4 linked regions of the Elephas maximus indicus genome follow. The protein of the gene in region 1 interacts with the protein of each later gene in a pairwise test. Links are inferred from orthologs where the notes say so. Each region holds a gene or a part of one and is shown in the gene's direction. Other genes may lie near its edges. The genes, in order: MID2, LENG1, CCDC42 and PPP1R18.

What was found.
Region 2: the proteins of MID2 (region 1) and LENG1 interact in binary tests that used the Homo sapiens proteins (3 or more experiments, as listed by UniProt). The two-hybrid records come from large-scale screens. The link is inferred for Elephas maximus indicus from reciprocal best matches to the Homo sapiens genes MID2 and LENG1.
Region 3: the proteins of MID2 (region 1) and CCDC42 interact in binary tests that used the Homo sapiens proteins (3 or more experiments, as listed by UniProt). The two-hybrid records come from large-scale screens. The link is inferred for Elephas maximus indicus from reciprocal best matches to the Homo sapiens genes MID2 and CCDC42.
Region 4: the proteins of MID2 (region 1) and PPP1R18 interact in binary tests that used the Homo sapiens proteins (3 or more experiments, as listed by UniProt). The two-hybrid records come from large-scale screens. The link is inferred for Elephas maximus indicus from reciprocal best matches to the Homo sapiens genes MID2 and PPP1R18.

What each region holds. Positions count from the first base shown.
Region 1 is NC_064846.1:50,053,734-50,061,223, reverse strand, and holds the start of MID2 (probable E3 ubiquitin-protein ligase MID2), read left to right. Parts: upstream 1-4,361; 5' UTR 4,362-4,567; intron 4,568-4,639; exon of another isoform or gene 4,640-4,713; intron 4,714-4,741; exon of another isoform or gene 4,742-5,171; intron 5,172-7,490. UniProt on the Homo sapiens protein: E3 ubiquitin ligase that plays a role in microtubule stabilization. Mediates the 'Lys-48'-linked polyubiquitination of LRRK2 to drive its localization to microtubules and its proteasomal degradation in neurons.
Region 2 is NC_064829.1:92,904,498-92,911,607, forward strand, and holds the start of LENG1 (leukocyte receptor cluster member 1), read left to right. Parts: upstream 1-3,921; 5' UTR 3,922-4,257; coding exon 4,258-4,389; intron 4,390-6,068; coding exon 6,069-6,248; intron 6,249-7,110. Other genes in the region: TMC4 (transmembrane channel-like protein 4), read left to right, coding at 25-192, 435-598, 848-974, 1,313-1,410, 1,735-1,918, 2,498-2,628, 2,727-2,882, 3,161-3,239 and 1 more.
Region 3 is NC_064837.1:11,978,013-11,986,250, forward strand, and holds the start of CCDC42 (coiled-coil domain-containing protein 42), read left to right. Parts: upstream 1-5,124; coding exon 5,125-5,207; intron 5,208-5,530; coding exon 5,531-5,636; intron 5,637-5,885; coding exon 5,886-5,990; intron 5,991-7,796; coding exon 7,797-7,994; intron 7,995-8,238. UniProt on the Homo sapiens protein: Essential for male fertility. Required for sperm development.
Region 4 is NC_064819.1:91,004,450-91,012,145, reverse strand, and holds the start of PPP1R18 (phostensin), read left to right. Parts: upstream 1-4,542; 5' UTR 4,543-4,626; intron 4,627-5,690; 5' UTR 5,691-5,718; coding exon 5,719-7,332; intron 7,333-7,696. Other genes in the region: NRM (nurim), read left to right, coding at 574-703, 1,291-1,487, 2,091-2,267, 2,804-3,085.

The sequences.
Region 1 (7,490 bases):
CACCTACCAACTACTGAACAAAAAGTGTTAACCTGACTGTCCCAAAAAATCCTTTGCCTTCGAGCTGATTCTGACTCATAGCTACCCTACAAGACAGAGTAGAACTGCCTCATAGGGTTTTCAAGGCTCTAATCTTTATGGAAGTAGACCACCACATCTTTCTCCCAGTGTAGTTGGTGGGTTCCGACCACCCACATTTTGGTTAGCAGCTGAGCTTTTAACCGTGGAGCCACCAGGCCGGTGACACAGAAGGAAAACATGGAGGATGTGGTGCCATGGAAACCAGACTCCAGGTGACCTGGTGCTGCTGGTTAGGAATGTATGGTCCACGGTAAGGTTTAGGGTTGGGCCTAAATACTAATTAAAGCTGCAGGAAAATATTTTACCAATGTAATACAGATAGCAAACGTACATTTTTATTGTAACAGACACAACAATTCAGACAAATTACAAAGTCGATAAAAGCATTACTAAATTGAGACTGTGTTGGCATCTCCTGTCTGAAGGGGAGATGGGAGGGTAGAGAGGGTTAGAAACTGGCAAACCGGTCATGAAAGGAGAGGCTGGAAGGAGGGAGCGGGCTGACTCATTAGGGGGAGAGTAAATGGGAGTATGTCCTAAGGTGTATATAAGCTTATATGTGACAGACTGACTTGATTTGTAAACTTTCACTTAAAGCACAATAAAAATTATATTTAAAAAAATTAGTAAAATATAGGTCAAAGGAGAATAAGAAGTACCAGAAGCTTGCTACCTCTCCATTCTGGGAACATATTTATTTTGAATCACTCTCTTAGGCAGCCTACATGGCCCATTCACAACTAGTTTTAAAACAATGTGCTATTGATGACTCCATGCCAAAAATGCTTTTCTTCTCACCATCCTGTTAAGAGCTTCTCAGTTAGAAAAGCCCTTGGTCATCCTCTTTGGATTTCAGACAACTAGCTGCTTCTTTTGAGAGCCGTCTGAAGGTTCCCTTTTGCAGAAGCAAGGATTCTCTTGTGCAACAAAATCACCCTTCTGTGATTTTTTCCCTTCTGAAACAGACTGGTCTCTGTGCTTCTCTCTGTAGAAAGTATCTGGAGCCGTCCCCCCACCCCCGACATTCTTAGCTGGAAAAAGTAGCCCATGAGCTGTCCCTTTCATACTGTAGGCCTGTGGTGTGGCAAGTCGGCCTCAGATTAATTCAATTAAACACCTCAAGCCGAAACTGTCAAAAGTCTTTTTTTCATGGGCCAGGTTTGTTAATACGATTAACATGTTGTATACAAAGGTAACCATTAAATAATTATAAACAAATAATTTCATCACATAATCCCAGCCGATTTTACATTGCCTGCCAGATACAAAACATTTACTTTAATAAATTTAGTCGGTAATTTACATAAAACATCTGAAAGTGAGGATATTTTTCAAAGCAGCTGCTTATGTGATGTGACTAGTAAAATCTCCCTACTCTCCACCCCTACCCACACACACTATTAGTCATTCTTTTGACTTAATATATTGAAGGCCTCTGTTAAAATTAAAATACCATCTACTAAGGGGGAAACAATGCAGCTATTAAGGTGTTAGGTTGAATTAGTTGACTGAATTCCTTAATTATTTAGTAAGGTCCTGTGTGAAAGGGATACGGAAGCAGGTAAATTTAGGGGAGGGAAAGGAAAGTTTCAAAGAATGGATTGCTGCCTGGGGACGACAGGGCGGGTAAGGCATCCAGGATAGATCTGTGGAAAGCCAGGGGCTATCTTGAAAGCACTGGAAGCTCAGGTCGAGGCCAGACTGCTAACAAGTGAGGGATAGGATGCTTTCTAAAAGACGATAAAGATCATTAGAAGGGAATCTCTCTACTCCCAGTTCTAGCTTTGTTCATGGGTGTTCATGATGAAAGCAGTTACTTCTTCCCATTTTAGAAAATTCTCCAGCTTTCTGTGGGAATCATACCCAGTGAGCTTCAATAAGAATTCTCAGAATTCTGACTCAAGTTTGGGTTCAACTTCTGTCTTGGAGAAGTACCTTTTTCTGATTTTTAAAAAATTAAAAAGCAATGCATGAAGAAATTCTCATTATAGAATATTCAAATAATTACAAAATATATAGAATTAAAACCAAAAGTCCCCTTCCACACGCATTCCAATTCTAGGGTCGCACCATTTACAGTATGCTGCCAGGTTCTTTTCTTTTTTTAAATAATTTATTTTATTTTTGTAGTTGTCGTTGAAAATATACACAGCAAAACACAGACCAACTCAACAATCTCTCCATGTACAATTCAGGGGCACTTATTTTCTTCAGGTTGTGCAAAGATTCTTACCCTTCTTTTCCAAGTTATTCCTCCATCATTGACATAAACTCACTGTCCCCTAAGCTTCCTATCTACCGGGTTATTTTCTATGTATTTTCCTGCATATGTATACATATATATGTGTGTGTGTATATATATATATTTTTAACATGGAGTCCGTGAGTGGTTCAAAAGGTTAGGTGCCTGACTGATAACAGAAAGTTTGGTGGTTCAAACCCACTGAGAGGTACCTCAGAAGAAAGGCCTGATGACTTGCTTCCAAAAGGTCACAGCCTTGAAAACCCTACAGAGCACCAGTAAAACTGAGTACAGAGTAACACATGGGGACATTATGAGTCCAAATGGACTCGATGGCAACTGGTTTGGTTTTGACTTTCTTATTTTACATGAATAGAATAACCTGTATTTGTTGTTCTGTATACTTCATTGTTTTTTAAAAAAAATTTTGAAAAGATAATACATGCACATCATAAAAATTTCAAACAATATAAAAGAGCATATACAATGTGAAGTATGTCACCCTCCTGTGCTTAACCCCCAGGCAAGCAATATAATCCATTTCTTAGAGTCTGTGCATATACAAGCAGATAGGGACAGATCCTCCCCCCTTTTTCACACAAGTGGTAGCAAACCATACACAGCTTTGCACCTTGCTTTTTTTCATTTAACAATATTTCATACATATTATAAATATATGTGTATAAATATATGTGTATGGAGCCCTGGAGGCACAGTGGTCAAAAGATCAGCTGCTAATGAAAAAGGTCAGCAGTTCAAATCCACTAGCCATCCCTTGAAAACCCTCTGGGGCAGTTCTACTCTGTCCTATAGGGTCACTACGAGTAGGAATCAAGTCAAGGGCAACTGTTTTTCTTTTTTTTTAATAAATCAAAATCGGCTCTAGGACAATTTTTTTTCTTTTTTGAATCTTTATGAGCAATGATCACCAGTTCTTTTCTCCCGCGGACCGGCTGGGTGGGTTCGCACTGAAAACCTTTGGGTTAGCAGCATTGCGCCACCAGGGCTCCATATACGAGGAAAGAAAAAAAAAAGAATCTTCGTATTATAATATATATATTGTAATATATATGTAATTATAATATATATATTGTAATATATATGTAATAATATAAACATAACCTTCTTCAGAAACGACAATATTTATTTATCCATCCCCTGTTAGGCTGCATCAGCTGACTTCTGACTTACTAACTTTTACTTCTCTTAGGGCTGGACTTTCATCAGGAGGATAGCTGGCTGTGATTTTCCCCTTGGTTTCCACCTTAGTGTTCTCTAGAACATTGTTTAACAGAGGTATTGGCTGATTACTATTGGTCCCTGACGGGATACACCCAGAGCTACCTTAACTTCTCTGGACTTGTTCCCATCCATGTACAGTAGTGGGAGGTCTATGTGTGTGGGGGTTGTTTCCTTCCATTTTCTCTCCCCCCCTTCTCATTCTTTTGTTCCTTCTTTTTTTTTTCTTTGTCATGTTAAGAGTCTCCTCTTCCTTTCCTCTCCTATCCATCCGGTGAGTGGGGGCAGCATCACTGAACCAACGACAGGTCAGCGGAGACTCTGACTGCAGACCAATGGGGTACTCCCAGGTTCCAGATGGACCAATCAGCTTATTAGGGACATCAAATACCTAGATAGCTGGCATCTGCCCCATTGTCCTCTGAGTAACGACCCTCTTGTGTTGATGGTCAAAGATTTGAAGGTGCAAAAGAAACTTTTTTTTTTCTTTTTCCTTTGGTGGCTTTAATCCATCTCCACAACTTCTGCCCAAGGCCAATAAAACACAGCCATTCTCCCTTTGTAAAAAGAAAGAGGGGTTGGGTTTCCTTCAATTGTCTGCTCCTTTCTGTCTCCTCCACTATTTTTGTTTTATGTACTTTGTAGTTAACTTTACATAGAGCAGCTTCATCCGTGGACCTGTGCGGTGGACCCCATACACTTTCTTCTCATTGCCCATTGCAACAGCCTTTTTGTTCTAACCTGGGGGGTGCTTGTGGGGCAGGGCGGGGGAGAGGGGGGGTGGTGGCGGGTGGGAGAAGAGTTTGGCTGTTGACTTCCTTTGGCATTCCTCACACATTCTGCTCTCTCTCTGTCTCTCTCTCTCCCTCTCACACACAGACAGACAGACAGACAGACACACACCACACACCATACACACACACACACACGCCCGCCCGGGCCCCTCTCGGTGTGTCTTCCTTCAAGATGACAGGGCGCTGGAGAAAAGGCCGCTGGAATCAGCTGGTAGGTACAGTAGTAACCCGAACCCCACCTACCCGCCGCCTTTGCTCGCTCAGGTTTCACCGGTCACTCCTACCTGGGGAGAAAACATATAAATGTGCCTCCAGAGGAGGGGCTGGGGGAGAAGGGAGCGGCGAAGGCGGCGGAAGGTGAGCCTGGGAAGGTGGCCGGGGCCCTGCTTGGTCCTCCCTCGGGGCGTTAGCCCCAGCCCTGTTTGCCCCCACCCACTCCCCTTTTCGAAGGGATTGCCTTTCTCTCTCTCTCTCTGCGGCGGCGGAAATGACAGTGTGGTGCTGCCGTGGTGTCATGGTGCTGCTCCTGGACTGAGAAGCGAAAACTCTTTAAGTTTGGCTCGAGAGATTCAGCCAAGGCAGCGTTGCAGCCGCCGTGCTGTCCCCTGCCGGGCGCGCGGGCAGGCGGATCCCGGCTGCTGCGCGGCGGCGGCGGCCAAAGCGAAGGCGGTGAAGGCGGGCGGCGGCCTAGAGCAGCGGCGGCGGCGGCCCGGGAGCTAGCGCCGGAGCCCGAGCGAGCGCTGCCGAGAGAAGCGAGCGGCCGGCGCCCTCCGTCGCGCCGCCTAGGAGATGGCTGGCACCCGGGAACGCTCTGGGTAAAACGTGCCCCCTAGCCACCGTCCCTGGGGCTGAGCGCCGCCGCCGGCGCAGGGCTCGGCCCGGGCTCCGGCCGCCCCTCAGGTGCCGCCGTGGCCGGGTCGGGCCAAGGGCTCTGGGGCTCGGTGGGGCGGGCTGATCGGGCCGAGAGGCTCGAGGCGGCGGCGGCTCCGGCCCAGCCCTGCCTCCTGGTTGCGACACTGGGACCCGGGCTCCTGCCACTGCCCTCCTGGGACGGGAGTTTGCACTCGGGTGCGGGGCGGGGGCGGCCGAGGCCTCCCGCGCAGCCCGGCTGAGTCGGCTCGGACAGTGGAGCGGCTTCCCCGGCGCCCGGGCGGGAGTCTGGGAAAGGGCACCGCCGCCTTCCCACGCTCCCGCTGCCGGCAGCCTCCTCCGCTCGGGCGGCGCCCCTTGGACGGCTGGCTGCCTGGCGGTGGCTGCCGCAGCAGCCGGGGATGCTGCGGACACCCTGCCGGCGGGAAGGCCAGGCGAAACTTAATCCTTTTTCTGCCAGGGGAGCGAGCAAGCGTCTAGTCTCCGTATGGATGGTTCATTCTTTATGGCCTAGCTGTGAGACCAGGTCTTTAGGGGAGAAGGAAAACTTACATATGTCCACAGGACAGGCTGAGACTGAATTGGAGAGAGGTGGGGTTCTTCCATTCCTGTCTCGTAAGAACTAATAACAGCGGAGTAGATTTACAGAAACATTATTTGTGATGATAAGGTTTAGGCTACTTAGCTTAGCACTTCGTGAGCGGCACATTAGTTTTCGGAGGCATTTCTTCCCAGAGCAGGAAATTGGGATCCTGGGGTCGCTTGGTTCTTCATTTTCCCTCTTCTACACTCCCCTACCTTCCTTCGAGCTCAGTCAGTCACCTTCTTACGTTGTCACACACCAATTTGTCCACCCAAATCTCTCAAATCCAGCGCCCCCCACCCCAGCCTTTCCACATCACCCTGTGCACTCAAGTAACCTCCCAGCCGTGCAGCCTCTTGTTTCTCAACCACTTTGTCTTTTTAAGGATCTCTGACGTGAGGGGTGGATGGTAATAGTTGTGTGCCTCTGAGGTTAAAATAAGAGTTGTTGTTAGTAGTCACTTAGTAGGTTCCCACTCATGGTGACCCCATGCATGTTAGAGTAGAACTATGCTCCATAGAGTTATCAAGGCTGTGACCTTTTGGAAGCAGATGGGCAGGCCTGGAACAGTCAAGTTTCTAGCTACTAGTTGAGAGCTTAACCGTTTGCGCCACCCAGTTGTTGTGGTGGTGTGCTGGGTACTCGATTCCAACTCATAGCCACCCCATGTGACAGAGTAAAACTACCCCATAGGGTTTTTCTAGGCTGTAATCTTTATGGGAGCAGATCATCAGGTCGTTCTCCCTCAGAGCCGCTGGGTGGGTTCGAACCACTAACCTTTCAGCTAGTGGCCTAGGGCTTAATGGTTTCACTACCAGGACTCCCAGAGGGGCCCTTAAAAAGGAATATATTGAAACTGTACATAAACAAGTGCTGTGTGTGGGTTGATTCTTTGGGTTCTCAAATTGAGCCATAAGGGCTGCCTTTAACCCCATTCTGTTCCCTCCCAGAACTGTAGTCAGTTCTCTGGCAATGTTCCAATAATAGTAGGAAGAATGCTGAGTGGGGAGCCCCCCTCTCTTTTCTTCTGTTTCGGGAGCAGTGTTGGGCGGTCCCAGCTGGTTAGCCCCCCCATCCCCTTTACATCGCCTCTCCTTGCACCGAGGGGGAACAGTCTTTGCCATTTTTATATAGATTGCTACCCAATCAATTGACTTAATACAGATATATAAAGTAAATTAGATTTCTCCTGATTACTCCACACAATTTGATTTATGTAGTTGAAATACAGGTCTAGGAGCCAAGAAGATCAGAGAGTTCATCCCAAATCTGATGTTGCATTGGCTTTTATGGCATCCCTGTGACCTTTCTTTCATAGTTGGTGCACTTATGTAAAAGGCATAATATTGTGTACAGAGTATTGTGAGTCTTGGCTGGGTCTTTTGAAGATGAAAGGGTTCTATAAACACTCAGCATTGTACTTTTCGAAGAAAGTACTCCATTTACCTTTTATTGGGATAGTGGCTAGACTGGGTATAAGTAGGAACCCCAGTTTACTGGAAACCATACCTTGGCATTATTAACGCCCTCTGGGAGACACACCTACTGTACTTAGGTCTGAAGTCTTTTTTTTTCCCAATGAGCATACAACTGAATGGAAACATACCTAAAGCTAGACATACAGAGTAATGCAGATTATTTTAAGACGTGGTTTGAATCATTTCTAATGTACTCTGACCCG
Region 2 (7,110 bases), on another chromosome or scaffold:
AGAGGAAGTCTCTTCTGGCCTCAGGTGGAGCTGGAGGAGGCAGTGGTGCGGCACCAGGCTGCAGCGCGGACCCTGGGTCAGCAAGCCAGGGTGTGGTTGGTGCGGGGGCTGCTCAACCTGCTGGTGATTGCGCTTCTGGGTGCAGCCCTCTATGGAATTTACTGGGCTACGGAGTACACCGTGGAGCTGCAGGTGCGAAAGGTCTTGGAGGTGAAGAGGTTGGAGGCCCTGGACCTGCCTGTCGAAGGGAGGAGGGGACTGAAGTCTAGGATTCCTGGAAACTTAGAAGAGGAGGGGTAGAGGGAGGGGGGAGGTTGGAACCAGATTTCGGGGGCCCGAATGAAGACGAAGCTGGAGGAGTATTTTAAGCATGGGTCTTATGGGCCACCCCCAGAAGCCCAGATAATCTTCCGTTGGTCCACCTTCTCTCCCAGGAGAATTCCTTTGTCCAGCAGACGCCACTACTAAAGCTGCTGGTGGATTACCTTCCACCCATCTTCATCTCCGTAGTCAACTTCGTGCTGCCACCTGTGTTCACGTTCATTGCCTCGCTGGAGGGCTACAGCCGAAGCCGCCAGATCATTTTTATCCTGCTCAGGTTCCAGCCTTCCAGGCTAGGGATTGGTGGTTGGGGAGCTGGCTGGAGGGATGTTGATTCTGAGAGACAAGACACAGAAATCCCGAAGACAGGGATCCAGGGAGATCTAGATTCATCCTGACTTTGTCACTGAGCCTCAATTTCTTCATCTCTGAAATGGGGAGAATCGTGAGCACGTTCCACGGAGGAGGATCTAGCAGGTGGTGAGTACTGGTCAATGCTAACTCCCTTCCTCCCTTCCCCTGCCAGGACTGTGATTCTCCGCCTTGTCTCTCTCCCGGTCCTGCTCATCTCTCTCTGGAATAAGATCACTTGCGGGGGCAATGCCGAGGCTGAGAATTGCAAAGCCTGTGGCTACAGTTACAAAGAACTTCCGGTAAGAAGGACAGGGAACCCAGACTCCTGGGTATGAGAGAGGAGGGGGCCCTGGACCTCCGGGTCTGAAGGAAGCGGGGCCTGGGGTCCCGGACTCTTAGGTCCTGAGGCAGAACGGGCCTGTGGCTGGAGATCCTAGGTCCCCGAAGGAAGAAGGAGCTGAGTGGGTCCAGAGAAGGGCTAGGGGGCTGGAACACCCCCCTGAGGACAGGGGTATGGATGTTTGAGAAAACTGGACGCCCACAGAGGAAATATTGATAGGATCTTATCGGCTTGCGATTTGGAAATCCGCATGCATGGGTCCTGAGGTCTTTCTAACCCGTTTTCTTCCTTCCTCAGTGCTGGGAGACCCGGCTGGGGCAGGAGATGTACAAACTCCTGCTTTTTGATCTGCTGACCGGCTTGGCAGTCACGCTACTCATCCAGTTTCCTCGAAAGTGAGAGCCTTTTCGCGGTGGCTCCGCCCCTAATAGAATAAGCCCCGCCCCACCATCTTTTTTCTATAGCTACGACCCTGACGGCTTGGTTTCCTGGGCCTGAGTCCTCAGGTCCCGCCCCCTCCAATTCCGCCCCTAAGGCCGTCTGGCGGGCGTTGTCCCCAGCCCCTGTCCTCTAAACACACCTCTTCGCTCCCTCCACGTGGGATATTGAAAGCTCCGCCCTCCCTTGGATATGCTCTCTTCCGATTGGTGGGCGGGACGGGTGAGGTGGAGAAACCCCGGGCCGACACGCCCCTGACTCGGCCCGGCCCCGCCTCTCAGGCTGCTCTGTGGCTTCTGTCCCGGGGCGCTGGGTCGTGTGGCCGGTACCCTGGAGTTCCAGGTGCCCGGCGAGGTGCTGGAGCTGATCTACGCGCAGACAGTGGTCTGGGTGGGGAGTTTTTTCTGCCCTTTACTGCCCCTGCTCAACACGGCCAAGTTCCTGCTACTTTTCTATCTGAAAAAGGTGCGGAGTGGGGAAGACGCGGGGTTCTGAGCGGAGAGGTATTGGGGACCTGGACTACTGGGGTCAGGGAGATGAAGGGACTGAGGGACATTGCTCCGAGGTTCTGGAGGACGAGGGGGCTGAGGACCCAGACTATCAGGTCTTGAGGAGGAGTTGGGGGCCTGGACTCCTGGGTCCGAGGGAGGAGGGGGCTTGGATCCCTGACTCCTGGGTCCAAGGGATGAGGGAACTGGGGGCCAGGACTTCAGGGTCTGAGGGAGGAGGCCATAGGGGCCCGGAGTCCTGGGTCTGAGGGATGAGGGGGGTGGGGGCCCAGAGTCTTGGATCTGAGGCAGGAGGGGCTTGGGGTCCGGAGTCCTGGGTCTGCGAAAGGAGGGGGCTGGGGACTGGACTCCTGGTTGTGATGGGGGTAGGGAGGTGGGGACCTGGATTCCTGGATGTGTTGGGGGAAAGGGGACTGGGGACTGGACTTCTGGGTCCTGAATGAAGAGGGGTCAGGACTCCTGGGTCTGAGGGAGGAGGGGCTGGGGCTCAGACTCAGTGTCACAAGTCTCCTCCTTCCCCGCCTTCCTTCATCAGTTCTACCTTTTCTCCACCTGCTCCCCGGCTTCCCGCACCTTCCGGGCCTCCGTGGCGAATTTTTTTTTCTCCCTGATCCTCCTCCTGGCTCTGGCCGTCTCCGCTGTTCCCGTGCTTTATAGCATCTTCCTGTAAGTGTGAGAGGAGTCCGCCTCTCGATCCCTCCCTCCACCCTCATCCAGGACTCTGACTCCTGGCCCTACTTAACTCTACCCATCTCTGACTTCAGGATCCCGCCCTCCAAGCTGTGTGGTCCATTCCAGGGACAGCCATCCATCTGGGCCCAGATCCCTGAGTCTATTTATGGCCTCCCTCGGGCCGCTCAGAACTTTCTCTTCTTCCTGGGGACCCAGGCCTTTGCTGTGCCCCTTCTGCTGTTCTCCAGGTGAGGGGGCCCGGATTCCTGGGTTGTAAGTTTGTGTGTGATTTGAGGGCCATGCCACCTGCATCCGAGGGAGGAGGAGACTCAAACTCCTGAGTCTGCTGGAGGAAGAAGCTGGGGGCCTAGACTCCCGGTCTGAGTGAGGAGAGGGCTGGGGGCCTGGACTACTGGGTCCAAGGGAAGAGGAGCTGAGGCCCTAGATCCCTGGTGTCTACGGAGCCAGACACTGAAGACATTCTAAGAGTGTTTTGGATGTGGCTTCTATTCCTTGTCTCCTGCAGCATCCTCATGGCATATACAGTGTCCGTGGCCAACTCATATGGGCGCCTCATCTCTGAGCTCAAGCGCCAGATAGAGACGGTGAGGCAGGCTGGGTACCTGGGAAAGCTCCTGGAGAATATGGAAAGGGACATGAGGGAGGGAAGATGTGTCTCACTTCCACCTGTTTTTACTCAAGGAGGCGCAGAATAAAGTCTTCCTGGCACAGCGCGTTGTGGCGCTGAGCTCGGCCAATGGGGCTCTGTGACTTGCGCAGCCTGGCTCAGAATGAAGTAACCACGTTCGGGTTCCAGATCTGCCCCCAGGCTTTGTGTCATACCCTTTGTAAGCCTCGACTATTCACATCTGTAAAATGGGAGTACTGGAGAAGACTGCACTCTTCCAGCCTAGGATTTGGAGAATTCTGGCCGTCAAGTCCCTGACTCTATTGAAATTTTTCTTTTATCAATAAATACAACTGGAAGCTGCTGGTGGTGCAATGGTTAAGTGCTTGCCTGCTAATGAAAGATCAGTGGTTCAAACTCATCAGCCACTCCTCTGGAGAAAAATGTGGCAGTCTGCTTCTGTAAAGATTAAAAAAAAAAATTAGAGCCTTGGAAACCTTATGGGGCAGTTCTACTCTGTCCTATAGGGTCACTATGAGTCAGAATCAACTTGACATTAACGGGTTTTGGTTTTTGGCTTGAAGGCTGCTGAGCGCTCTTTGAAACCTGTTTTCTCAAACCGGGCCAGGGCTTCATCCTAGGATGAGCCAATCAAATGTATTGGAATTTGTGATGGTGTTACACGCTTTTCCGCGAGACGACTTGACAGGCATGAGAGCCAATCGTCGGCGGCTTCTGCAGCGCCTGGGGCGGGGCCATCCATGATTGACTCAAAACCCTGATAAGAGGTAGTCACTAGGCGCTACCACGCGCGGATTCGAGGTGATGGGTGGTGGACGACTCAGCCAATCACCTCTCGCTACAGACCTACAGGGGGCGTGCTGATTAGCCCGAGACCAATCTGAGGCCGAGGTTGGGACAACCGGGGGAGCACAGCCTCGCCAATCGGAAGTGCCAGGAGGCGGGTCTGACAGTCCGAGGACGGTTACAGCGCCATGAATATCTTGCCCAAGAAGAGCTGGCATGTCAGAAACAAGGATAATGTGGCGCGCGTGCGGCGCGACGAGGCCCAGGCCCGGGAGGAGGAGAAGGAGCGGGAGCGGAGGGCGCTGCTCGCTCAGCAAGAGGTAAGCCTGAGTCTGAACGGGCGGGTTCCAGGGGCCGAGCCCGGAAGTGGAGTGGCGCGCAGTCGCAGTGCGCCCCTTGTGTAATCTGGGCTCAGGCTCTGGTCTTGCTCGTTGGGGACGTGTCTCTCGCAGAGCTGCTCAATTCTCCTGTGCCTACCTCCACGAAGCCTCCCCTGACCCCACCCTCGTCTCGGCTTCCTCCACGCTTGCGTTCCAAGTGTCCAGAGTAGTGCCTGGCACAGAGTAGATATGCGCTGAATGAATATAATGAGCCTTTGCGAGGTCGAAAGGAACTGTGATCGCTTTTAGTTTCCTGCACAACCTGTAGGGTCGCTATGAATCCGAATTGAGTGGACGGCAACGGGTTGGTTTTTTTGCACAACCTTCACATTTATTGGGCACCTGAAGTGCCCTTGTGGCTAACGGTTTAGTGATTGGCTGCTAACCGAAAAGCTTGCAGTTCGAGCCCACCAGCGGCTGCGTGGGAGAAAGACTTGGCGATCTGTTTTGGTAAAAATTCCAAAACCAAAAAACCCGTTGCCACTGAGTCGATTCCGACTGATAGCGACCCTATAGGACAGAGTAGAAACTGTCTTACAGAGTTTCTCAGGCTGTAATCTTTACAGGAGCAGACTGCCTATCTTTCCTGCAGAGTTATTGGTGGGTTCAAACTGCCCACCTTTTGGTTAGCAACTGAGTGCTTAACCACTGCACCACCAGGGCTCCTTTCTGTAAAGATCAAAGCCTATGGGGCAGTTCTACTCTGTCACATGGGTTCACCATGAGTCGGAATCGACTCAATGGCTACTGGACGCCAAGTAACAACGACCTCTGCTTGGTATATACCTGTGTCGCTTACCTGATCCTCAGCTAACAACGTTGGTATATACCTGTGTCGCTTACCTGATCCTCAGCACTGGCTGGAAGTGGTACCCTGGGCTCTTTCCTTATTCACATGTATCAGCAGAAGTTGTAAGTATGACTGGGGAAAGTGACTTGGGGCCATGCCTGAAATTCAGATCATCTGTTCTAATACATTTGCCCTCATGGGGCAGTGGATAAGAGCTCAGCTGCTAACCAAAAAGACAGCAGCTCAAATCCACCAGCTGCTCCTTGGAAACCCTATGGGGCAATTCTACTCTGTCCCATAGGATCACTCTGAGTCAGAATTGACTTGATGGCAGTGGGTTTCATTTGGTTTTGGTCCTAATACAAAGAAGCGCTCTTGGTGCAGTGGTTAAAGTGCTTGGCTGCTAACCAAAAGTTCAACAGTTTGAACCTGCCAGCCGCTCCTTGAGAGAAAGATGTGGTGGTTCTACTCTGTCCTATAAGGTCGCTGTGAGTCGGAATTGCCTTGAGGGCACTGGGTTTTGTTTAGTGTTTTTGACCCTAATACAGGGTTTGGCTGCCTCTGTAGCTGTTTTGTTTCACTTGACTGGGAACCCCTCTGGTTTAGGCCAGGGATCCTCTTTCCAGCCAACCTTGATGACCCACGGATTACTATTTGAAAGGCAGCTTTTAAAACTCAGGCATTGCCTCACCCCAGGATGGGACAGGGGCCTCTTTGGGCTCCCAGTACCCCAGGACCATGGACTGTGATGCTCTGTGGTCTGCACCAGACTCTCAGCCCCTTGAGTCACCTCTGGGTTCTGAATGCCTACAATGCCCCTTTCCCCCAGGCCCGCACAGAATTCCTACGCAAGAAGGCCAGGCGCCAGAACTTGCAACCTGAGCTTGAAGCAGTAGAGGTGGGAGCCCCAAGTCCTGGCCCTGTGGACCTGTTTCGAGAGCTGCTAGAAGAAGGGAAAGGGGTGACCAGAAGCAATAAAGAGTATGAGGAGGAAAAACGACAGGAGAAGGTAAGCTGGCCTTGCCGATGGGGCTTGGGGGGGGCACTTGGGTGTGACCAACAGGAGTGTGCAGATATGGTGGGAATTAAATGAGTGAACTACATAATTTAGAACAGTACCGGACCAGCACCCAAGAAGTGCTGGCTATCGCTATCCAGGCACCCACAGGATTTGGCTAGTCACCCCAGCTATGGAGTCTGTGGGTAGTGCAAATGCTCAACTACTAGCTGAAAGGTTGGTGGTTCAAACCCACCCAGAGGTGCTTCAGAAGACAGGCCTGGTGATCTGCTTTCAAAAGATCACAGCCTTGAAAACCCTATGAAGTAGCTCTACTCTGCACGCATGGGGTCACTGAGTTGGAACTGACTTGAAGGCAATTAACAACAGCCTGGCTGTGGGGTTGCTAGGTGCAAACCGCTCAGGTCTCCAGCCTGAGGTCAAGACCCTACAGGGGCAAGGGAGAATGAAGAAAACCAAAGACACAAGGGAAAGACTAGTCCAAAGGACTAATGGACCACAACTACCACAGCCTCCACCAGACTGAGTCCAGCACAACTAGATGGTGCCTGGCTACCACCACCGAGTGGTCTGACAGGGATCACAGTAGAGGGTCCCAGACAGAGCTAGAGAAAAAGGTAGAACAAAATTCAGACTCTCAAAAAAGGACCAGACTTACTAGTTTGACAAAAGACTGGAGAAACCCCGAAGAGTATAGCCCCCGACACCCTTTTAACTCAATACTGAAGTCACTCCTAAGGTTCACTCTTCAGCCAAAGATCGGACAGGCCCATAAAATAATACAGGTAGCTCAACCATGTATACGAGACTACATGGGCACACCAGGGGTTAAGGACGAGAAGGCAGGGAGGGG
Region 3 (8,238 bases), on another chromosome or scaffold:
AGTCTCCTGCCATTTCACAGATTCTCAGTTTCTCTCCAGCATTTGTTGTTTGAGCATTGTTCCCCTCACCTCTTGTCATTACTCCCTAAACAAAACAGTGTAACAACGATTTACGTAGCACTTACATTGTATTAGGTACTATAAGTAATCTAGAGATGATTTAAAGTATATGGGAGGATGTGGGTAGGTTATGTGCAAATACTCTGCCATTTTATATAAAGGACTTGAGCGTCCCCAGATTTTGGTATCCACAGCGGGTATGGGGGGAGAGTTCTGGAATCAGTTCCCTGCAGACACAGAGGGACAACTGTGTGAAGAAAACTGAAGGATAAAAAAGAAGAGTTGAGCAAATGAAAAAGTACCTTTTTTTTGTAGGTAGGTTTGACATCACAAAGATGTCAATTGTCTCTATACATTTAGTGCAATCTCAGTAAGTATACTAACTGGGTTTTATTGTTTAGTTAGTTGTGTTCTTTGGAACTAGAAAATCCGATCCTAAAGTTGATCTGAGAAAATAAACTAGAATAGCCAAGAAGCTTCTGGAAAAGAAGCACACTGAGAGAGGACTATCCCTGAAACATATAAAAACACACGTAAAGCCTCAGTAGTAAAGGTGTGTGGACAGACAGGTCAACTGAACAGAGAGTGTCCATGGGGAAAAGCAGCACTAGTCCATAAATGGCTTAGGGACAGCTAGGCAGTCATCAGAAGGGAGGGAAAAAAAAAGTTTGATCCATACTATGGTAAACACCATACAGCTCAAAAATAAAAATGTAAAACACGAAACCCTAAAGGGATTTGAAAAAAACATGGGAAGACTCCTTAATAATGTTGTGATATGGAAACCTTCTCTAACTATGACTCAAAATCCAGATGCTATAAAAGAAAAGATTAAGGCATCTGACTACATAAAAATTAAAAAATTCTACAAGAAAAAAAAAAAAAAAACGCCTTAAGTCAAAAGACCAATAAAATAACTGGGAAAAGTATTTGCAACTCCTTTCTAATAAATAATGAACTCTTATAAATCTATAAGAAAACAGCCAACCAACCTAGTAGATTGGTGGACAAAGGAAGTTAGAGAGACAATTCATAGAAAAAGAAATACAAATGGATTGATCCAGAAATCCCACTTCTTGGAATTTATCCTGCCCATATGTGAAATGATATGTGAAATGATATGTATACAAGGTTATATACTGCAAAAAATTGGAAATAACCGAAATATCCATCAATAAGAGACCAATTAATTAAATTACAGAATATCCACATAATGGAACATAATGCAATTAAAAGAATGAGGAGACTTTTAATATATTGATATGGCAAGATCTCTAATATATATTATTAAGTTAAAAAAATAAGGAGCAAAACATTGTTTGTATGCTCTTTTGTGTAGAAAGAGTAAAAAATAAGAACATATTCCTATCTGCCTGCATTTGCATAAAGAAACTCCAGAAAATGCATAAAAACAGTTATTCGTGGGAAAGGTGTGAGAACTGGGTGGTTGAAAGAAGGGATAGTGATGAGGCTTTTCACTGTACACACTTTCTTTGAATTTTTGAACCACGAGGATAGATTATCTGTTTAAAACACCATATTTAAAATACTTTTCTATTTATCTCTGATATTCTTAAATTTCACTGTATATATTTAGATGTGTTTTTTGTTTGTCTCCTTAGATATAAGAATTTCAATCTCAAGTCTCCTCTTTCATACCCTCCATTTGTTTTTCCTTATGAAATTCCTATTATTATTTAGATTTGACATTTTTATTTCAATCCTCTGGACCTTAGCTTTTATTCTTTATCTCCTCCTGAAGCCTTCTGGAAGAGTTCTTAAAGATGGTCTTCTATTCATTAATTGTTCTTTAATTGTATCCATCCTGCCATTTAAAGCATCCATTGAGTTCTGTCGTCCACTCAGCTTTCCATTCAATTCGTTCTTCTCCATTCACGCTTGCTTCTCTTCATGTTCCCAACATCCTCCCTCATCTCTTTGAGGATATTTGTTATGTTTATTTTAAATTCTTATTCTATTGATCTGTTGGTTCTGTTTCCTTTGGACAGGTTGTTCAGTCTGTTATCTTTTATAAAGGTTGCCCCCCTCAGACATCTCATTGTTTTTCCTCATGAGCTCATGTGTGCTTGAGACTACGTTCTACCAACTACCTTGAACTGTCCCTGGAATGTTAAATGGCCTCCCTGCCCTGTTCTGCATATGTATGTATTCAGACAGCCTCTGGTGTTGCAGTCCAAGATCACCCACTCCTGTTTTGCCTCCCTTGACCAGGCAATACTGTTCCTCTGTAAACCTTCCAGAACCTTCCCCCCAGACATGGTTCTTTTCTAGGGGCTGCCTCCCTCTGTTGCAACTGCCTGCCCATGAAAGAGGGACCACTCAGGATTATCCAGCCTGAGTGCATTTGTGTCTGCTCCAGTGCTGCCCCCTCCTCACCCCACCACTCTGGGCTGACACTAAGTTGTCACTGGGATGATGCTGCAAGCTGTACAGTGAGCTTCCCAGGGCAATGTGCAGAAGAGAAAATGCCATGAGCTATCCACCATCCCTGGTACTTAGCCCTCTTCTGTTCTGGACTGCCATTTCTCACACACACACACACACACACACACAACCACATCCCACCACTTTCTGCCTCCCTAGGGTTTCCTCACAGTTTTTGTGTTCCGTTTGGTTAGCCATCCACCTCTCTCAGTTCTACAGAATCTCCAGGGACAGAAGCCCTGATCTGCAATCTTGTGGGAAACCTGAAGTTCACCTCATTTTTAATTGTGGCTTTTCTTAGTCTGCAGATGAAGCATAATCTTCAAGCCTCCATTTTTTTTTCTTCTATAAAGGAGACATTTGAAATAAACGATCTCAAGTTGTTCTAACTTTAAAATTCTGTGGTTCTGTGTGGCAAATGAAGTGACATAAAATATACCGAGATATTTTAAGACTACAGAGTTACCAAGGAAATAAAGAGGCACATGAGGGAATACCCACCAAGAGACAGTTATTAGCAAGAATGGATGTCAGGTTGAGAAAGTGGAGTGTCAATCAAGTTTCAGGGAACTAGGAGAAGGGGAGGATGTTGAGGGAGATACACAAGAGAAAGAGAAAGACACTGGTTAAAACAAGGTTTGGAGGAGAATCAGCAAATCTTGAGTATGACAAAAATAACTAACTACCATGGGGGCAGATGCAAAGATTTTTTTTTAATTTATTATGAGATATTTGAGACATAGGGAAAGGTGTAAAGAATAATGTAATGAACACTTGTGTTCCCAGTGCCCAAAATCTAACATATTACACATCACCAACAGCTTGCCCTTGGTTGACACCCTGGGTGCCTTCACCCAGCAACATGCCTTCTGAGCGGGATGACAGTGGGCAAGGTACTTAACCTCTCTGAGCATCCATCTTCTCATCCATAAATGGAGATGAAGATAATAACAGTACCTACCTTGAGGAGGTTGTTTTAAGAATTAAGTCAATTAGTGGGGTTAGTACTGTTAGTTCTGTTACTATCATTTATTCAGATGTTAAGTGCGCACCTTCATGGGTCAGAATTGTGCCAGGCTCTGGGGACAAACGATCAGAGAAACGTACTCTTCAAAGAGTTTACGGTTCTTATTGCCGTCGTTGCTCTTACCCTACTGGTTCTGACTCTCTAGGGCGCCCCGGGTGGAGAAGCCATCTCTGGTTTAGGGGTTTGTGGGGGGTGGGTGTTCTGGGTGGGAGGGGGGCTGTCCTGCTGTCTCTCCTGAGCCCGCCAGGCTGACTGAAAGCGACCGGGCTTGTGCTTCTGGCCTCAGAAATCCCCACTAAGCGGTCTATTCTGGGGAGGAGGTTGAGGGGAGGATGGAAAGGAGGAGGGTGGGGGGTGGGCAGCGCCCCTCCAGCACGTCTTTTCCTCCCCACGGGCGGGTGGCCAGCAGGGGGCGCCAGAGGACCAGCAATGCCGCTGAGAGGGCGGTTGCTGAGCTCCCTTCACGACGGGTTCGAGACCCCCACCCCACATGGGCTTCCCTTCCAGACAGAGAGCAGAGCCAGGACGCGTGGCCCGCGTGGGGCAGAGGAAGCCGCGCGAGAGCATCGAGGGAGCTTGGGAGCCTGTCCGCGGGCAGGAGCCAGCGGAGGGCCGGCCTGAACCTCCCAGCCGGGGTCTGCCACGGAGACCCAGGGCGCCTGCCCCACACGCCGGGTCTCAAATCTAGACGCTGAGCCTCACGGCCATATGAGTGCATGCATTTACCCTGACAGGGTCGAGGAAGGCAGCCATCACAAAGAAAACATTTGATGTGTGAAATATTCATAACCCTGCTTCGACATGTCTCCAAAATTTAATAATCTAAGAACTTCAAAATGAGGCACTGGTCCCGAATCTCTTGCCCCCTCCTCCACACCCTTGTTGGCCATATCTCTTCAGTCCCAGGCTTCTTGCATAGCCTCACACATCTAGACCGCACACACATCCTTCACCCACTAGCTAGTTGTCAACCTCAGGCCTCCTCCCACCTTCAGGAATCTCCAGCCCCTCTCCTGCACATCCCCAAAGGCCCATGTTTCTCTGTCCACCCTCACCCCTACCTCAGCTAAGCACCTCTTCTTCTTTCCTTTCTTATTTGCTATCTGTCAAAGGCTCACCTGAACCTGGGCGGGAGGCCTAGGAGCAGGGGTCCCTCAAAAGGACAATCCCATTTCTCAGCCAGGACACCCCGGCCCTGCCTCCCAGGCCTGGGCACCACGGCAGTACCTACTGAGGCCTAACTTCCTCCCAGAGTTCCCGAGGGGTAAGGGCAGGAGTAAGGAGCAGGACCCCAGCAAACATGAGGCCAGGAGGCAGAGGGCTAAGCACGAGTTCTGCGTGTAGTCCACAGAACCAAGCAGCCTGTTGCTAGGTAACCAGAACCTCACATCACCCCCCACAACACATCATCTGAGCCAGGGATTCTGTCTCCAGCTATCTTGGGCAGAGTCTCTCAAATACCTACCGCCCCTGTGGGACTCTGAAAGCAGGAGAAGAGAAGAAACCAGAGCCCAGCCACCACCCCTTGGGATCCGCCACCCACTATTTCACTGTGAGGACCCAGCTGACTGGGCCGTGAGGGCACCGCAGCCATGAGCCTGGGAATCATGGAAGAGGAAGATCTGGCCGAGTACTTCCGGCTGCAGTATGGGGAGCGGCTGCTGCAACTGCTGCAGTGAGTGTCTGAGAGCCCGCCCCATCTCTCTGTGCCTTAGACCACCGACCTATGCCTCACCTTCCTGCTCCCAGCCTGTCCCCGCCTCCTCCTATAACCCAGGGCTCCAGATCACCCTGACACCAATCCCCCCATCACCCTGCCTCAGCTCACTCTCCAAATGAGCACGCCTCTCTCTTCTCCACACCCCAGACCTTTCACTCAGGTAGGGGAGACACCCCCTTCCCTCCCCATGGGTATCTCTCTCCACTGGTTACTGCCCAGCCCCAACCTGCCTCAGGCACCCAGAGCCCACAGGCCCCTCTTGCCGGTGTCTTGGGCAGGAAGTTCCCCTCCACTGAGGAGCAGTCGGAGTCCCCATCCATCCGGCTGCTGGAGAAGAAAAAGGAGGCCAAGATCATGCACCATGCTATGGAGCAGAAGAAGGAGGTGGGCCAAGGGGACAGGGTGCTGGGGTGCATGTCTCTTCCCTCTGGGGAGAAGAAAAATGATCCGAGTCTCTGGTGCTATTGTTGTCCTGGGGTGCTCTGCTCCAAGCCAGCCATGGGACAGAGAGGGAGAGGTCTCCTATGAACCCTTCCGGGCATGGGAATAGCAGTTCTGGGCAGGGGATGCTGGGACCTTCCTCAGTACACATGTCTGAGGCCCTCTTGACCACTCTCCTTTCCCCACCCGCAGACATTTAAACGCAGGATGGAGGCCTTGAACCTGCGCTGGGAGGAGCTGGGCATCAAGGAGGCCCAGCTGACGGCCCACATCCAGAAGTTTGAGCAATTCATCCAGGTAGGTAGCGGTGTGACCTACTGTGGCAGCCAGTGGGACTCACACTCTGCTGTCCAGCAAACTGCCTTCCCTCCCTCCTCATCCCCCTAGCTTTTGCTGACCTTCTCTCCCTGGGTTCAATGGCTGGCTGTACTCCAGCAATCCTGATGCTTTCCCCCTTCCAATCCCTCATTTACAGCTCTGTTTGGAATTTCCTGTTTACCTGCCCCTTCTAGATTGCTGTTTCCTGTTTCCTTGCCAGTACCTAGTGAATGAACAAATGAATGAATATATCAGAATCAGGGCTGGGCCCTTGGGAATACAAAGATGAATAAGACAGGACCCATCCTTGCACTGAAGGTCCAGACAGGAAATGGTCAGAGGAGCAGGCACCAGAGTTCACTCCCAGACAACCCCTCTCAATGGGTCCTTAGAGGAGGGATTTAGTCATCTTAAAGTCCAGCCAGCACTTATCAAACCCTTAAGGGCCTGGCCCAGCTCCAGGGGCTCGTTGCTGCCCTTGGCCATAGAGGAGCCTACTCTTAAGCATCTTCCACCATGCTTGTGCCTAAACCAGACAGGAAAAGAAGCTGGCTGACTGGGGGCCAGTCCTTTTACTGACCAGAAAAAAGCTCATGGAGTGGTTGGAGCAGCAGGAGATTTGGGGGTGAGGGGTCCTCCAGATGGCTACTAGAGGACCAGCAGCACTGAGGTCCCTGAGAGTTTGTTACAGACGCCTGGACTCTCTTCTCTCCTTGCTTTCAGCAGGCGTGAGGTCAGTCCCAGGCATCTGTATTTTTACCAAGCTCTCCAGGGGTTACAGATGTACAGTCGGATTTGAAAACCATTGGCTTAGGGCCCTTGTCCTCTCCTGGGCTTAGGGAGCAGAGAACAAACCCCTGAGCACCTTCCTTCATGCCATCCAAATGCTGGGACCACACATGCCACCCATGGGGAATCAACAGGGCCCCAGGGAGGAAAGGGCCACACAAGTGCTGGGAGAGGGGTGGGTTTGCCTCCTACATCTTGGAGGGAGGGTTTGGCCGTAGGAAGGAGAAGGCAGGACTGGACACATTGCAGTAGCTGAGCCTCATGTCATTTTGGGTGTCAAATTGCCTATGCCATCTTCTCCAGCCCTGGCCTGGTGCCAGTCTGAGCCCCTAGGAACATGCTCCCTGGAATGCCTTATCCCCTCCGGTCCCCTGGACCAGGCCCATTGTCTGCCTCATCTCCCTGTAGTTCAAGGGCTGCTACCTCAGCTTTTGGAAGAAAAAGAAGGGCCACTGCCTTTCATTTATATAGTTGGAAAAACTGAGGCACCAAAGTTGGGAGAACATTCGGGCCTCCCAGCTATGGGCCCAGGAATTTACCCCATGACAAACGTCCACCACTAAGAACAGAAACAGGGGAAGCTTTGTCAGAAGGTTTGCTTCTGGAAAGTCCACTTCCGGGCCGTCTCACCCTTCCCCAGGGTTGAGCTGTCTCCAGAGACTGAGACGTGGGCCTCCGCATTTGGCCCCCTGAAGTCTGGAACTCCTCCCACAGAATCAGAATCATTTCCCAAGGCCACCTCTTAACTTGGGTCTAAACCTCCCCCCTCACAGCCTTCTGAACCCCAACTCACTCCACAGAAACCCCGTCAACTAGCTGCAGATAAGTTTGTAGACCCTTTTCCTGTGTGCCTCCTCTCCCAGTGGGCGGCCCAGCCTTCCCTGCCCATCCTCAGAGTGTCCAGAACTCAGCCAACCGGCCTTGCGAGGGCACCAGGGGGCTGAGGGCCCCTCCAGCCACTGGCAGTTCTGACTGGTGCCCCTGCTCCGGCCCCAGGAGAATGACCAGAAGCGGATCCGCGCCCTGAAGAAAGCCAACAAGGAGCGAGAACTCAAGAGGCAGCGCATGCGGGAGTTGGCCAAGGCCAAGCAGGAGATGGCAGCTCTGCGGCTGGAGCACCAGCGGCTGAGCTGCAAGCTGCAGGACTACTCCATCTTCAACAAGTACCTGGAGAGGGTGGTAGAGAACTCTGAGGTGAGTCCTGGGGTCGAGTGGGGAAGAGCCTTGGTGCCCACCTCAGCCGCACCTCCCCTTCCCCAGAGTGTGGGGCTATGGGTGGCATTTCAGCCTGAGCTAGCTGGGATTTAGGAGCTCCTGGGGGCTCTGTGGGAAACCCTGGTGATGTAGTGGTTAAGTGCTACAGCTGACAACCAAAAGGTCAGCAGTTCAAATGCACTAGGTGCTCCTTGCAAACTCTATGGGGCAGTTCTACTCTGTT
Region 4 (7,696 bases), on another chromosome or scaffold:
GTTTATAATAATTTACAGAATAAACATTAATTTATTTTGTGGTAAAATGGTCACTAGCTTTTTCTCTTTTTTAGTCTAACAAGATGTAATATGTGATTCAGAGCTTTGGGTTCTCAGACAGTCTGCGTCAACAATCTTCCCGTTCTCTCACCGTTCACTATTAAACTGCTGAGGCTTGTTAGCTCTCATTCTGGTTATGTTTTTTAGTCAAGGCTAAATTAAAGAAAACGGGGTTTACAAGGTTCCATTTCCTTAAGAACCCTACAAGAGAGAAATTGTTAGCAAGAGCTGAGATTCAACCCACGACAGTGGCTGCCGAGCCGCTGCCCTTTAAACAGCTCACATGAAATTCTAACATTCCCTTCTGTGACGCCAAGATCGCAGGATCGAAAAAGGGACCCAAGCGCCGGCGCGGCCACCTGCTGGGCAAGCGCAGCCGGGCGGGCCGGAAGCCCGGGAGGCGGTGCGCGGGTGCCCCGCCCTCTGGGTGGGACCCCAGGCGGGGCCGGGGCGGGGCCAGCTGCCGCGGGAATCCCGGGGCCGCCCCCTTTCCTCGCCCCTCAGCTTCTCGCCATGGCCCCTGCGCTTCTCTTGGTTCCTGCTGCCCTCGCCTCTTTCATTCTAGCCTTTGGCACCGGAGTGGAATTCGTGCGCTTTACCTCCCTTCGGCCACTTCTTGGAGGGGTCTCGGAGGCTGGCCCCGGTGAGCGGGAGGGACCAGAGGATGACTCCGGGATAGGGGGGTGGAGCCGGAGAAGAGGGCGCGGGGGCGGGACTTGGAGACCAATGACAGATGGGAAGTCTTGGAGAGGGAACTCGAACCTTGGAAGCGCCGAATCGCGCCAGGGGAAGGGGACCTGCGGGCTAAATTAGGAACTCGGGGATAAGAGGTTTAGAATGGAGAGAGAGTGAGGACTGAGGGGGAGGGGAAGGGTGATAAGCAGAGTATTTTAAGGAAAGGGCTTTATGGGGAGGACTGTAGAGAAGAGTTTAAAAGAGGGACCATTTGGAGAACTGAAATGAAAGAGAGAATCCAAGGTGGCCTCTCCAGCCACGCCTTTTGTGACTGCCCAACGTTCTTTGTTCTGTGACTCCTCTTTCCCAGCTCTGGAGGATGCCTGGGGAAGAAGGAAGAAACGGGAAAGAAAAAGTGACATGGGCAAGCCTGGAGAGGAAGCATGAAGGCTCTTGGAGGCATTAAGGGACATGGCCTGGTGCTCTAAGAGCCTAGGATAAGGAGTGTTTCCTGCCATCTTCCTGATCTTTTCTCTGTTTCTCATCTCCCCCTAGATGTCCGGCAGGGATGGTTGGCTGCCCTGCAGGATCGCAGCATTCTTGTCTCCCTGGCATGGGATCTGGGGCTCCTGCTACTATTTGTGGGGCAGCACAGCCTCATGGCAACTGAGACAGTGAAGGCATGGTCGTCTCGGTACTTTGGGGTCCTGCAGCGGTCACTGTATGTGGCATGCACTGCCCTGGCCTTGCAGGTATGGGGGCCTGGCAGGCATATTCTCAAGGAGGACAGAATCTGTGGGAGGGACACCCTGGCGTGGAGGGGCATGGAGTTTAGGCTTCTGATAAAATTTGGATTTAGGAGGAGAGCTGAGGATGCTCAAGACTCTAATCTCAGCTTCTGTTCCTCCACAGCAAATATCTTACTCTTTATCAAGAAGGGTGTACTCATCACTGGCCAAGCACAGTATGTGCATTCTCACCTTTGCAACTTTGTTCATGTTTTCCCCCTGCCTGGGATCCCCTCCTTAACTCCACTCAGTCCTACCAGTTCTTCAAAACCCACACCCCTAAGCCTCAAGGGAAAGCTTCCCAGTGAGTGCTCCTTTGTCTTCTTATTGGGTGCTTGGTACTGGCTACTTCGTGTACCTGTCTGATCACCCTACCCATTCTGTAAGTCCTCAGGGTAGAGACAGGTCATCCTTATATTCTTGGAACCCCACCCAGCACGCTCCACGCGGTGGATGCTCATGATGGGGGTAGGGGAGAGCTGCAGATCAGCCTGGATGGGGCAGCCTCTGGGACTGGGTATCTCAGGGGTGGGCTGCGGGGATACTCAGCTCCTCATCCTTCCCCAGCTGGTGATGAGGTACTGGGAACCTGTACCCAGAGGTCCTGTGCTGTGGGAGGCTCGAGCTGAGCCATGGGCCACCTGGGTGCCCCTGCTCTGCTTTGTGCTCCACATCATTTCCTGGCTCCTTATCTTCAGCATCCTTCTCGTCTTTGACTACGCTGAGCTCATGGGCCTCAAACAGGTGAGGCTTCCAGATCCCTACCTGGGGCCTCCAGCCCTTTCTAGAACTCCTCTTCCCCTTCCAAGGATTTCAGTCCTCCCCCTCCAGTGCTCTACCACCTTCCCCTTGCTTGTGACTCCCTCACCTCCCTTTCCTGTCAGACAGTCTCCCCTCAGCCCTCCCTCAAAGCCTAGCAACCATGGGCCTCCTGGGCCTGGGGAAGATGCATGGACTAGATAGCCATGTCAGGAGCCCAGCTCTCTGAAGGGGAGTGCCTGGGCCTGAGTTCTAGGAGGAGGGTGCCTGGGAGAGAAAAGAGGAAGCCAAGTTATGAAAGGAAATCCTGGTGGCATAGTGGTTAAGTGCTAGTGCTGCTAACTAAAAGGTCGGCAGTTCGAATCTACCAGGTGCTCCTTGGAAACTCTATGGGGGCAGTTCTACTCTGTTCTATAGGGTCCCTATGAGTCGGAATCGACTCGATGGTAATTTTTTTTTTTTTTCGTTTTAAGTTGTCAAAAGGTCTTGGCTCTATTTCTACACTGTTCTCCCTGTCCTAGGTGTACTACCATGTTCTCGGGCTGGGGGAGCCACTGGCCCTGAAGTCCCCCCGGGCTCTGAGGCTCTTCTCCCATCTTCGCCACCCAGTGTGTGTGGAGCTGCTGACCATACTGTGGGTGGTGCCCACCCTGGGCACTGATCGCCTCCTCCTTGCTCTCCTCCTCACCCTCTACCTGGGCCTAGCTCATGGGCTGGACCAACATGACCTCCGCTACCTCCGGGCCCAGCTACAAAGAAAACTGCACCTGCTATCCCGTCCCCAGGATGGGGAGGCTGAATGAAGAGCTAACTTCTGGTTCCAAGCCCTGTACTTCCTCTTCCCCTCAAATTCTAAATCTGTCAACATCCAAGTGCTGGCTACTTCGGGCCAGAGGCCCCAAACTCTGAACTGCAGGGCCTGGTCCTTCCCCTACTTGAGACTCCATTTCCTGAGGTCAGCTCCATACCCTAAATTCAGAGTTTTAGTCATTGGACTCGAAGGTCCACTTCTCACCAGCTAGGGCCCTCTCCTCTCCCTAAAGAGGCTGGTGTGGAACTCATCTGTCCCCTCACCATTTGGGGATTGAGCTTGAGCGCCCCCTTCCAGCGCCTACACCACAAGGGAAAGGATCCGCCTTGACCACTCCCCTGGCACTGTTGCTCAGGGATCCCCCTTCTCCAAAGCTGGCTTCAGTCCCAAGGAACTGGATCAGAGTCTGCAAGTTTGACTGTACTGGGCGTCCCTCCAGGGCCCACGCCTCGAGGCTCCATCTCCAGCCCTTATTATCCTCTCCACCCGCCCTGTCTTTCCACCTTCCTAGGTCCCGCCACTGGTCACTTTCCCCTGGGCCTCGTTGAGGGGACTCTCCCGCTCTTGTTTTGGATAGCTTAGGGCTCCCTGCTTCCCCGAGGTACACGCGTTACAGGAAAATAAAATTTAGCCTGACTTTTCTACATCTGGCATGCAATCTTTAGTGTCTCTCAGGCTGCAGGAATGGGTTTGGGAAGGAAGGAGAGCGGGAAGCCGGCCGAGACAAACGCAGATCTGGGCGACCACTTCTCGCGGACCCGCCCCCACTTGCCCGGAGCTGCCGAGTTCCCCTTCCTTCACAACCCCAATTCTGTTGCAGACCAGGGGACTCATGGGAGAGGGGGCTGCTACTCTGGTTGGAGAGCGAGCTCCCAAAGCTGTTGGCCTGGTGCGCCTGTCCCGTCCTCCCCCCTCGCCCCGGGGCCCATTCGCATGGGCCCGGACAGCGGGGCAGCAGTAGCCCTCGACCCCTCAGTAACAAAGGCTGTCGGGGGAAGGCAAAGGCATGGGGAGGAGCGGCAGGAGATGGGAAGGGCGGGCCCGGCTCGAAGCAGCTGCAGCTTCCTCCTCAAGTCCCTCGAGGGGCCTGAGTCACTCACTAGCCGCCGCCGCCCTGGGTCGGAGAGCTAGGAGTGGGGGTCTGGTCACCTAGGCACTCAAGGGCCAGGGGGCGGAGGGATGAGGGCCTCTGGGGACAGGGCAGAGACTGTCGGGGGTTCTGACGCGAAGAAGGGAGTCCCGTAGCGGAACCCCAAGGCTGGGTCTAGGGTAGCGAGACTCCGCCCCCTCTTCAGGCTCCGCCCCTCGCCCCGGTCCCTCTCCCCATTGTCCTCAGACAAAGCGGTTGCCGCCCCCCGCCCGGCCCCCTGGTCCCTGTCTAGGTCCCTCCTTCTGGGCTCCCTTTTTCCCTCCTCCTATCCCTCCTTCTCCCCTCCCTCCCGTCTCCGGATCTCCCTCGCTCCCTCTCTCCTCCTCTTCCTCTCTCCGGACACCGGGCTCTCCTGCACCCCCTCCCCTGGGGCCCAGCGGCGCGTGAGTTGACCGAGGGGTTTCAGACTTGGGGAGGGATGTTCTCCTCGCTCTGGTCCCTGCTCCCTTCCCAGTGCCGGGCCTTGGGCTGTCTCTTCTTTGTGCCGAGATTGTGCAGTCAGAGCCGGGTAGGGGCGGCCGGCTAGGTGGGAGTTCCCTGAGAGCGGGGGACCGGGGCAGCGGACTCTCAGGCTCTGGGAAGAAGAGGCGTGGAGCCGATCCTCGGCAGGCCTGGGCCCCGGGGCGCAGCCAGTGGGGGAGGCAGGCGGTGGTGGCTGGACAGGGTGGGGGTGGATGCCTAGTTCTGGGAACATGCTGGCAGCCCAGACGCCCGGGTTCGGAGAGTCCCGGGGGAGGGTATTTCCCTTGACCCGCCTTGGGGGCGGAGTGCGGGGCAGGGAGGTGGGGGCTGGGGGACCGGAGGGGCGTGGCCGATTGACGCTGGAAGGGGAGCCAGGAGACTTAGGGCCGCGCTGAAGCGCGCCGGCCTCCTGCCGCGGCGCTCACTTTCCCCTCCACCCCTTCACTTCCCCTCTCCCCTAGACCCCTTCCCTCTCGGACCCCTCCTCACTTCCCCAAGACCCCCCCACCCCAGGTCCCTTCATCCTGTCCCCAGCGCTACTGTCTGACCTCCCTTCCCACTCTCAGCTCCCGTGGGGTAGCGGTGAGGCAGCCTCGCCTGAACCCGGCCCTCCCCTCCCCCCGCTTCGCTTTTCTCTCTTTCGCCCCCAGCTTCTCTTTTCTCCCTTCTCTCTCCCTGTCACATCCTTGGGACAGTAAGACTTCTTAACAATGTGGTGCCAAATCTGACTCCTCCCTCTTTGCCCTGAATCTGCACTCTTCCTTTTACCTCACTGCCCCCCCCCACCAACTTGGCTCTTATCTTTTCTCTTTATTTTCCCAGCTTTTCCCTTCCTCTGCCTCCTCTTCTCCCTCTTTTCCCCTGTCCTCACCTCAGCTCCTCTTCTCTGTCTCCCACCTCCTCCCTTCACTTCCTTTCCCCCCACACTCAGTCTCACCCCCTGAGCCTCTCTCACAAGCCTCTCCTTCCTGTCCTCTGCCCCCAGCACTCCACAGCCTCACCCCAAGGCGACTATGGCCACCATCCCAGACTGGAAGCTCCAGCTGCTAGCCCGGCGCCGGCAGGAGGAGGCAGCCATGCGTGGCCGGGAGAAGGCTGAGCAAGAGCGCCTATCCCAGATGCCAGCCTGGAAGCGGGGGCTCCTGGAGCGCCGCCGGGCCAAGCTTGGGCTGTCCCTTGGGGAGCCTAGCCCTGTGCCCTGGACTGCGGAGGCTGGACCTCCAGACGCAGACGAGTCTGCTGTCCTCCTGGAGGCCATCGGACCAGTGCACCAGAACCGATTCATCCGGCAGGAGCGACAGCAGCAGCAGCAGCAGCGGAGTGAAGAGCTGCTTGCTGAGAGAAGGCCCGGGCTGCTTGAGGCTCGGGAGCCAAGACCCAGCCCTGGGGAGACTCGGGATCAGAGCCCCAAGGGACGAGAGTCAAGAGAAGAGAGGCTCAGCCCTAGGGAGGCCAGAGAGAAGATGCTGGGGACACGGGGAGCCCGAGAGTCTAGCCCCAGACCTTTAGAGGCTCAGGACTGGAGGCCAAGTCCAAGAGAGATGGGAGATAGGAACTACCGACAGTCAGAGGCACGGAAATGGAGACTGAGCCCTGGAGAGACTCCAGAGAGGAGTCTAAGACTGGCAGAGCCTCAAGAACAAAGCCCCAGGAGGAAAGAGGTGGTGGAAAGTAGACTGAGCCCAGGGGAGTCTGGCAGCCAGCAGCTGGGCCTCACAGAGGCCCATAAATGGAGGCCTGACTGCGGAGAGTCTCAGGAACAGAGTTCGGCACAACTAGAGGCATCACAGTGGAGGCCGAGCTCAGGAGAGGAAAGCAAAGACTTCTCGGGAGAATGTGGGAAAAAAGAAGACAGGCCAATTCCAGGGATGGTCCCAGAAGAGATTACAGGGCTATCAGAGACCCTAACAAGGGAGGCTCGAGACAGCAGCCCCGGAGGAGTGGAGGCAGCAGAGCAGAGGCCTGGCCTAGTGGAGGACGGTGAGAGGGGCTTGAGGCTGACAGAAGGGTGGAAGTGGACCCTGAACTCCGGGAAGGTTCAAGAATGGACACCCAGAGACACAGAGACACAAACTCAGAAACCAGAACCTTCAGAGTCCGCTGAGAAGCGCCTGGGGCCTCCTGGGGTAGAGCCTGGAGAAGGGGAGGCTGAGGAGGAGGAGACAGGGGCTCAGGGCAGGCCTCTGAGCATCCTGCAGAACCGCTGCTCTGTGCCCTCCCCCCTCCCACCAGAGGACGCTGGGACTGGAGGCCCTCGACAGCAGGAAGAGGAAGCAGTAGAACTCCGGCCCCCGCCACCAGCCCCTCTGTCTCCCCCACCCCTAGCCCCACCTGTCCCCCAGCCCCCTGGGGATCCCCTCATGAGCCGTCTGTTCTATGGGGTAAAGGCAGGGCCAGGGGTGGGGGGCCCCCGCCGCAGTGGACACACCTTCACAGTCAACCCCCGGCGGTCTGTGCCCCCTGCAACCCCGGCCACTCCTGCAGCCCCTTCCACAGCTGATGCTGCAGTCCTTGGGACCGGGAAGAAGCGGTACCCGACTGCCGAGGAGATCTTGGTTCTAGGGGGCTACCTCCGCCTCAGCCGCAGCTGCCTTGTCAAGGGGTCCCCGGAAAGGCAACACAAACAGGTAGGGGAGCAGCCAAGCCAGACTTCTTAGGAGCCCACTCGCCAGTTCTCTCTGGGCACCGGTCTTTTGTTCATTTTTATACTCCTGTATTCTTGTCTCCCTCTATTCTTTTTTAATTCCTGCCACCACCCTTCCTCCCTCTGCACACACACCCTTTCTTCTTGCTGCCTTCCTGTTCCATTCATCTCAGAGCCTGCCCAGCAATCAAGCACTGTCTCTGGGTGTGCTGTCCAGGGTGTGCCCAGGGTGTGCCCACGCTGTGCTTTCTCCCTTCCCTAGGGCTCTGAGTTCTCCCCATTTCTTTCTCTCCTTTCCTCTGAGTCTGTGACCCAGCCCAGCCCATCTGGTGGGCGATGTGCACTGA